Linked DNA regions of Schizosaccharomyces pombe. Changing the gene in region 1 together with any one later gene gives a genetic interaction. Each region holds a gene or a part of one and is shown in the gene's direction. Other genes may lie near its edges.

What was found.
Region 2: mutations in atl1 (region 1) and rhp7 impair growth when combined (synthetic growth defect), as found in Schizosaccharomyces pombe (one study listed by BioGRID).

Annotation. Positions count from the first base shown.
Region 1 is NC_003424.3:5,094,838-5,098,339, forward strand, and holds atl1 (alkyltransferase-like protein Atl1), read left to right. Parts: upstream 1-2,057; 5' UTR 2,058-2,275; coding exon 2,276-2,602; 3' UTR 2,603-2,825; downstream 2,826-3,502. Other genes in the region: rpl3002 (60S ribosomal protein eL30), read right to left, coding at 374-464, 711-973; TFIIIC subunit Sfc7, read right to left, coding at 3,013-3,375; ubiquitin conjugating enzyme Ubc14, read right to left, coding at 3,350-3,502. UniProt on the Schizosaccharomyces pombe protein: Involved in DNA damage recognition. Binds DNA containing O(6)-methylguanine and larger O(6)-alkylguanine adducts.
Region 2 is NC_003421.2:103,474-108,467, forward strand, and holds rhp7 (DNA repair protein), read left to right. Parts: upstream 1-2,206; coding exon 2,207-2,263; exon of another isoform or gene 2,264-2,311; coding exon 2,312-3,946; 3' UTR 3,947-4,375; downstream 4,376-4,994. Other genes in the region: rhp16 (ATP-dependent helicase), read right to left, coding at 1-2,103; SPOM_SPCC330.19C (uncharacterized protein), read right to left, coding at 4,532-4,784, 4,845-4,864. UniProt on the Schizosaccharomyces pombe protein: Involved in global genome repair (GGR) via nucleotide excision repair (NER), in conjunction with rhp16, after UV irradiation.

The DNA of each region.
Region 1 (3,502 bases):
AAGTCCTAAACACTTTGTAAGTTTTGTATTCGTAGCAATCTATGCGGTATTCATTAAATGAATCGTTATTGAATTAGTTGAGTGTAAAAGTGACTTTATCATAGAATCATTTTTACTACGGCGCTAGGAAGAGACGTTAATTAAATTACCTTGCTACAACAATCAAACGTAAATACAATGCATATATTGATGAGTTTCATTGTTACGCTAATATACAAGATAGATCAGCCTAATGCTGAATTTTTTACATTTGTTTAGATATGTCAAGCTAAAGAGTTCCTGGATTCTACCAGAAACTTGGAAATCCAATAAAAATAATCCGATTTATTTTATCTGCCATAACATTGATTTTAAAAATTTTAATAAGTTTTACCTAAGCAGCAAGAATGTCGGAATCGCCAGCATCAATAACTGCTAATACACCGACGCGAAATAATTTACCACATGCAGTTCCTAAATCAATACTTGAAAACAGTTAGTAAAACAAAATTCGACTCCCAATTAAGATCTCTGTCGAAATCAAAAAGGCTTCAAAAAGCTAGCCATTAAACAGTGTTTCTCAACATCAATTGCTATATTTTTCTTTCAAAGAAATGATGGTCATAAAATTAGCATAGTTTAAATGTAATGGTTTAAAAGTAAAAATAATTTCAAAACGCTTCTAAGTCAAAGTCGATGTTGAGGAAAACCCTTACAAGCTAGTTACTTACTTGTTTCCACTGTAGTGGTGTACAGAGCAGCGAGAAAGCATCGCATAGTATTCCAACTCGGATTTACGTAGAGGAGGGGCATTTGCGGCAATGAGGATCAATTTAGCTTTACCAGAACGAAGGGTTTTTAAAGTCGATTTGTATCCCAAAACGTATTTCCCACTTTTCATAGTCAACGCCAACTTGGAATTAATAGTATCTCCCGACTTCTTTCCCTTTTTGGAAACAGCGGCAACGGGTGCAGTGGTAGGTGCAGCAGACATTTTAAAAAAAAAACAAGGAAATAAAGAGATAAAAGGCTTAGGGTTTTCTGCCGAAAGATAGAAGTTTGTAAAGTTGTTAACTAAATGAAATTCAAAGTAATGTTTTCCAAGAAAAACAGTCACATAAATCCAAACAACAAAACTTTTAGTTTCTGTGCATTGGTGCGTAGTTCGTTAGTGTGTGGTACAATTTGCTATAATAAAATGTAAACAAAAAATGTCAAGTAATAAAAAGCAAATTTCTCAAGGTAAAGAAATCATCACTTTTCATTTTTTGTTTTATTTTAATTATTTCCTCAATAGTAAAAGATTTGTATTTTACGATATCTCGCGGATCCAATGGCTCAATAAACTATAATGCAGTTATTTCTAGCCTTTGTCCCTCTAACGATAAATTGTTCTTTGCAGTCGATGCGCTTATCCTTCAATTCATTTAGAAGTATTTATTGAAGCTAAATTGTAGTCTTGAAAATGCCTAAACTGTACGTTAAATTATTGATGGTGCAGTACGAATTGAGAGCAGCAAATAAATGGTTTTGAGTTCTTTTTTTTTTATGTAAATATGTGCCATTTGACAAAATCGTTAAGCGTTTTTTTCGGTCTTCCTAGGTCTACGGGTTCTTTGTATTAAGTTTTTTTTTTTTTTTTTTTTTTTTTTTGTTTTCCCCTACTATAAAGAATCTTGTCATACATATTTGAACAAATAATACGCGATAAGAAGGAAATAAACTTTTATTCACAATATATGAAAAACCGAGGAATAACCTGGTTAGAGGGTCTCTACATATTTCCCAATTTTTTATTTACTAAAGAAAAAATAAAATATCAAATCATAAATAATGATTTTATCCTCAATATTTAACAAATAAAAATAAAATCTTGATTGAAGAAATAAAATCCATTTCATTTTTAACTTAGCAGAATGTCCTTTAAAACATAGATTAAAAAAATATTCGCTTTAGCTTCTTTTAATTGTGAATAAAGCCCTAAAACACTCTAAAGCTTTGCAGATGATTGTTTGTATGAAAAAAAATCTCAACACTGTACCATATATCAATGCTAAACGTAAAAATATGCCAATCTTAAATCTGAACGCACTGGTTTTTTAAATCAAATATATTAGAAGTAAATTAGTCCAAAAGTTGAACAGGTGCGATTTTTTCATTAATTAATTAATTTAATTTTTTTTTTGGGACACATCGTACACGAATCTTCTTCGCTTTATACTTTATGAATTAAGAATCTCTTACTTTGTCAACTTGGTGGAGCAATTACAAAAACAGTTAGAAAAATTCATATAAAATGCGTATGGACGAATTTTATACAAAGGTCTATGACGCTGTTTGCGAGATTCCATATGGTAAAGTAAGTACTTATGGAGAAATTGCAAGGTATGTTGGCATGCCTTCATATGCCAGACAAGTAGGTCAAGCTATGAAACATTTACATCCTGAAACTCATGTTCCTTGGCATCGAGTCATCAATAGCCGTGGCACCATTTCTAAAAGAGATATCTCTGCTGGTGAACAGAGACAGAAGGATCGGTTGGAAGAAGAGGGTGTCGAAATTTACCAAACGTCTTTAGGAGAGTACAAGTTGAATTTACCAGAATACATGTGGAAGCCTTAATACGATTACTTAATTGGCAAATATCGTTGCATTTTCTATTTCTCTTGAAACGAGCAATCAACCTCCTTCTTTTGGTCAAAATGTAAATCTAATCTTTTTATCTCTAATAATGTCCTCAACATTTAACGTCTATCAACTTCGGTATAAAAATACGCTTAGAATATAATACATTTTTCCTTTTAACAACGTAATGTTCTTACGGGTTCAAGAAAGTTTCATTAGTTCATAACCATATATGTATGAAAATTTAGCGTATAAAGTTACTTAATACATTAAAAGTGATCTTTTGTCGCAACTTAATGTAAAATACCTGAAGAGATAAATACAGATGAATTTCAGAATTCAAAACAAAATGTACCATAAAACTTCAGCAACAGATTTCTTAATCTAATTTCATCACTAAGATACGCTCAATTCTCGGAGATATTTTCAGGCTCTCCTTGTGTCGGAGAATGGATTGATGATGATGGCGATGGGTTTTTAGGAACAAGTCGTATTTGCTCCAACATAAGTCGTCTTTTACAAAGAACAAGGCCATCACGAGAAAGTTCAGAATCATTCACCGAAGGAACGACAATATCTGTTCCAATCGGCTGGTGCCAGGTACCTCTGAAAAACATTCCTCCGATTCTGACAATAGGGTGCGGTTGGTCGATTCCTAAAATCGAAAAGTCATCGGAAGATTGAAAGTCCAAAGATGAATTTTGGAATTGGAATACAATATTTTCAACGTCATCAACGTCAGTTTCAAGACTTGGCGAATTGCTCGACATAATCCCTAGCAATTTTGTCAAACGAAGGGCGATCGTTTCGATATTGTTCAGCGATGGAAGCTACAAGAGGATCGTCAGGATTAGGTTCCCTAAGAAGTTGCAAAATTTGCTCCAAAACACTCCTCAG
Region 2 (4,994 bases), on another chromosome or scaffold:
AACTGTTTTTCGTTTGCTAGCTAACACCAGGTCAGGATGATCTGCCATTTGGCGCATTCGTGTAATTAGCTGGAAAATGTTTGCATAATTATTCAAAACGACACCTTCAGCAAGATATGTATTAAATTTTCTTTTTGAATCCATATATAAAGATTGGTATACATCTTCCTCTTCTTCGTTGAATAAATCTTTCCTCACTTCAACGACTCGAGGAGGTAATCCAAGGTCATCAGCCCTCTCTAATTTTGTTCGACGTAACATAATGTGTTTTAATAAAGAATGCACCTTTTTAAAAGCTAGCTTTCCTGGACCTTCGTATCCAAACTTTTGTATTGGTTTTAGCATTTCAGCGTTAAAATAGCAAGTATGACTCATTGGTTTATGGCCGCATTCGTCGCAATTACTTCTATCGGAAAATCTCCAGTGCAGAGATTTACATTCACATTGCAAGCAATAGTAGTAAGCAAAAGGATCTGCCCGTAGGAACCGAAGAAGTGAAAATAATTCTCCAATACGGTTTTGCAAAGGTGTTCCTGAAAGACATATCTTTCTTGTCGTTCTTAAGCCACAAACAGCTCTGGCAGTGTTACAAGTCCTTGATTTGATACCATGGGCCTCATCAAGTATAATTCGGTAAAACTCCATTTGATGAAGTAATGACTTTTCTTTTACAACACCGTTTTTCCTTCTGAATCCGCTGCGTTCCTTCCTGTAAACTGATTCAATTACATTGTAACTCGTTAGTACAACATCATAGCTCGAAAGCTCTTCTCCTGAAATATCACGAGCCTGGCCATAATAAAGATATGTACTCAGTGCTTTATTGGTATGTGTATCAATCTCTTCTTTCCATTGCATAATTGCTACAACCGGAGCAACAACCAAGGTTGGCTTACCTCGAGGTTCTGAAAGCAACAACGCAATTGTTTGAATAGTCTTACCCATACCCATTTCATCGGCCAAGATTCCTCCACCAAAAGAGGAATCTTCTTGTCGTTTTAACCAATATACACCTTCTCGTTGAAAAGGGAGAAGGTTTAGGACCAACTCTTTGGGTTGCTCGATCTGTTTCACTTCACGAGGTGCTTCTTCTTCCAATTTCTCCCAAACATGTTCTAGTTCAGGATGTTGTCGAATCAGACGATAATGGGTTCTTTCATGTGATGGAATTGATTTTGCTTGTGTTCTAGAGGAAGAGGACGCGGAAGAAGAAGCCCTAGCGGATACCCTCCTTCGTTTGGACTGGTAACTTAAAGGGATTGACTCTTCATCACTTTCCGTAGAAGAACTTGGAGCAGCTTCTGGAATTTCTACTTTACTATCAAAAGTTTCATCCTCTTTGATATCAATTATGCTAGCAACTTCATCACTTTCATCATCATCAATAAATTCGGATTCATTAGATTCTTCTGGAGATGACAATGGCACAAACTTTTTTTTCAAATTCGAGGACCTTAATGAACGTTTTCTGGCACTAGAAAAACCTGTATTGGGATTTGCTTCTACATTGTCTGTGCTGCTACCGGTGTGTGTACTGGTATCAGAAATGGATAATGGGGGTGTCGAATGTTGAGATGAGGTGTTGTTTGACTGGATAATCAATTTTTTGTTTGTTGACAGAGGTTCTTCAAACTCTTTTCCGTTCCAGCGCGTTGTCTCCATATCTAACTTGTCGTCACGCTCGACTTGTTGATTTGAAGCATTCCCCTTTGAATCACCATTATCATCTAGAACAAAATGCATATTTTCTTTTCCCTTATTACTATTCGAGTTTATTTTATTACATGACGTCCCCATTTGTGAATGTAAATTGTTTTCAACCACTTCCTCATCTTCACTTTCTACAATAATGCCCGCAATGGGAGAAGATGACCATTCATCTTGATTGCCTGGTACATCATGAATGTTATTTATCTCTGAATAAGTAGTAGAAAATGGAGCCTGCCCATTACTTTGCTCATCATTATTGTCTGCTTGAAGAGACGCCTGAGTAGTATGGTTATTGCGAGTATTTTTCCAATTTATGGAATCAATTGTATCGTTTGAATTAATATCTACAGCTTCATTTTGTAATTGGTCCACTTTTAGAGTAGATATATGCATAGTAGTGGTTGGTATGAGACAAGTTGCCACGCGATCTGAAGCGATTTAATTAAACTCAACCACACTTCCACCTTATCCTCAGCATACTAAGGATTTCTTTAAAATGTCAAGTGGAAGTCGGGTGAGAGGGCCAAATTCTGCTTTAACAGAATTTTTAAGAGTATGTGATGACTCTTTCTTAGCTCGGAGTTACTAATGCATTATTCAGTCTCAAGGTATCAATGCTTCAGCATTAGGACGTGCTCGTCCTCCTCGTCAAAGCGAGGAGTCAGCAGGGCAATCGACTGGGACAGAATCAGAAGTTATTCAAACACCGACTTCTGTTGAAGAAAACAACGAAGATGAAAACTCGATGTCGACAACGACAATTGAGATACCAGTAGTGAAACGACGAAATCTACGAAATCAAAAAAAGAAGAAGAAAACGGATGAAGAAGCTGAAGACAACGAGGACACTTTTTCAATGAATTCAAGAGCTGGGTTTTCTTATAAAGCAAGGGAGCATACGGGCAAACTAGATTTTTGCGCACACTGTAATTGTCGCTTTACAATAACCCCATACAGCAAATACAGCAATTCAGAGAAAGGGTGGCTATGTTATCCTTGTAGTCGTGGTGCTGAAGATCGATCGGTACCTGAATTAAGGACGAGAAAAAGAAAAGCATTGACCCGTAAAAAGGTGGCTGCCGCTACCATGGACGAAGAAATCAGTGTTCCTAAGCTTCAGGATTTGTGTATACGAGTTATTGCTGAATACATAAATGATATCGAAGCTTTTGGGGATATTGGCCAAGTGAATATGGACAAAATTAGCCAAATAATTTCAAAAAACCGCTCTCTTAACGATACTACTGTGAAATTATTCTTAAGTGGGGGTCAAACTGAATTAAAACTATATGATTGCTCAAAGATTACAGCAGATTCACTTTTCCAAATTGCTCAATACTGCCCAAATCTTCAAACTTTGCATCTTACTTATTGTGGTCAAATGCAGGATCAAGTTTTACACTTTTATGCGGATCATTTGACTGAATTAACAGATGTATCTTTTCAAGGTGCCTTTTTGGTTTCTTCCTCAGAATGGATAAATTTTTTTAAAAAACGGGGTTCAAAGCTTATAAGTTTAGAGCTTACGGATACTGCCCGAATTCATGTTTCGGTTATCAACGCTATAGTTGACTGTTGCCCAAATTTGATTAGCCTTAATCTCTCTAGAATTTTCTATCTTGATGATGAATGCGTCCGTCTATTAGCTGGTTGTAGAAATCTTGTCAGTTTGAAGATTGAATCACCAGGCGGCATCATTAATGATGGAAGTATATTAGATGTACTAAACCAAATTGGAAGCGGTTTGCATACTCTTAGTTTATCTGGTTGTACAAAATTAACTGATGAAGTTTTGAAACAAGGTATAGGTCCTTGTTGTGGTCGTCTTAAGCATCTAAATTTAAGTGGTTTGGAACTGTTAACAGATGATGAGGCCTCTATAGTTTTTGGTGAATGGAAGATTCAGTCAGGCTTAGAAACATTGTCCTTAAGAAGGTGTCTGTCACTTGGAGATAAAACTGTTCGTGCAGTATTGGTTAATTCAGGGCATACGCTTCGCACTCTGGATTTAAATGGAATGTCGTTTGTGACTGATGAAGCATTACAGTATATTGTCAATTTTCCATTACCTATGCTAAAAGCACTTGATGTCAGCTGGATTCGTGGAATGAATGACAAATTGGTATGCGATTTTGAAAGCAAAAAGCCAACGCTTGAGAAGCTTTTGGTATGGGGAGATAATCATGTCCTGATGCCCTCAAATCGGTTACTTCTGATAGGGCGTGAAGTTCAATAAGGATGGAAATACTTTCTTTTTCAATTTTATCAAAGGTTTTGGTTGTTGAATTGGACCTGTAATTATTCTTTTGAAAAATTTAATGACTAGTACATTATTTAAATTATCACCTTATTTGATGGACACTAAGTTCCTTGAACAGCCTCAATCTCTTTTTGTGTCTTTCTGATATTATTCTTTAACGAATATTTGTATTTGAAACCTTTTTATTTTTAATTTTATTTATTTATTTATTTTCAAATTAGATGATATGGTCTGCGAACAAATAGCTAACCATTTCTTTGGGTAATGAATTATTTTTTTATTACCATTCCCTCTCTTTACGAATGGATCTCCGAATCATTTTTACACATAATCAAACAATTTAACTACCTTTTTTTAAAAAAAAAATCCCGCTGCTCTTTGTTGTAATACAAATATCAAGCAATGTAATTTTCAATCACCTTGATTTTATATAGCATAAGATTATGAATAGTACACTAATGGTATTGCTTGCCAGACTAAAGAGGTTTACTGCTGCTCGGAAACGCAAAGCTCATCAAACAAACATAAATATTTATCCTTTTTAAACTGCAAACATTCTTTTCAAACTGTAATATTCCAATCGCCCGACAAGTTGGGCATATGAAAAATCAAACAATTGAAAACACTGGTTATGCAAGTCGATTTGGCTATCTCACAATCCGCCAGAAAAGTATGCAAAAAATATATACAAGGGCAAAAAAAAGCAAAAAGCAAGACAAGCGGTATGAGATTAATAATAATATTGAGTTGTAAACCGAAAATATTGATTCTAATGCTTAATAATTCGAGTTTACGACTACGGTCATGAGCCTCACTATAAAGAAGAATTACTTAGTGAGCCGTTGATTTATTATAAAAGAATGATTAAACGTACCTTTTGTTCAAGACTACCATTCTCCATTAAAGATATGCGATTATCTTCCTCTTGATTAATATACATCTTGAAAGAGGCTATCTTCAAACCTGTGAAATATCAATTTATATAGAGCAAATGGTCAGAGAATGAATGGGCTTTCTTCCAGAA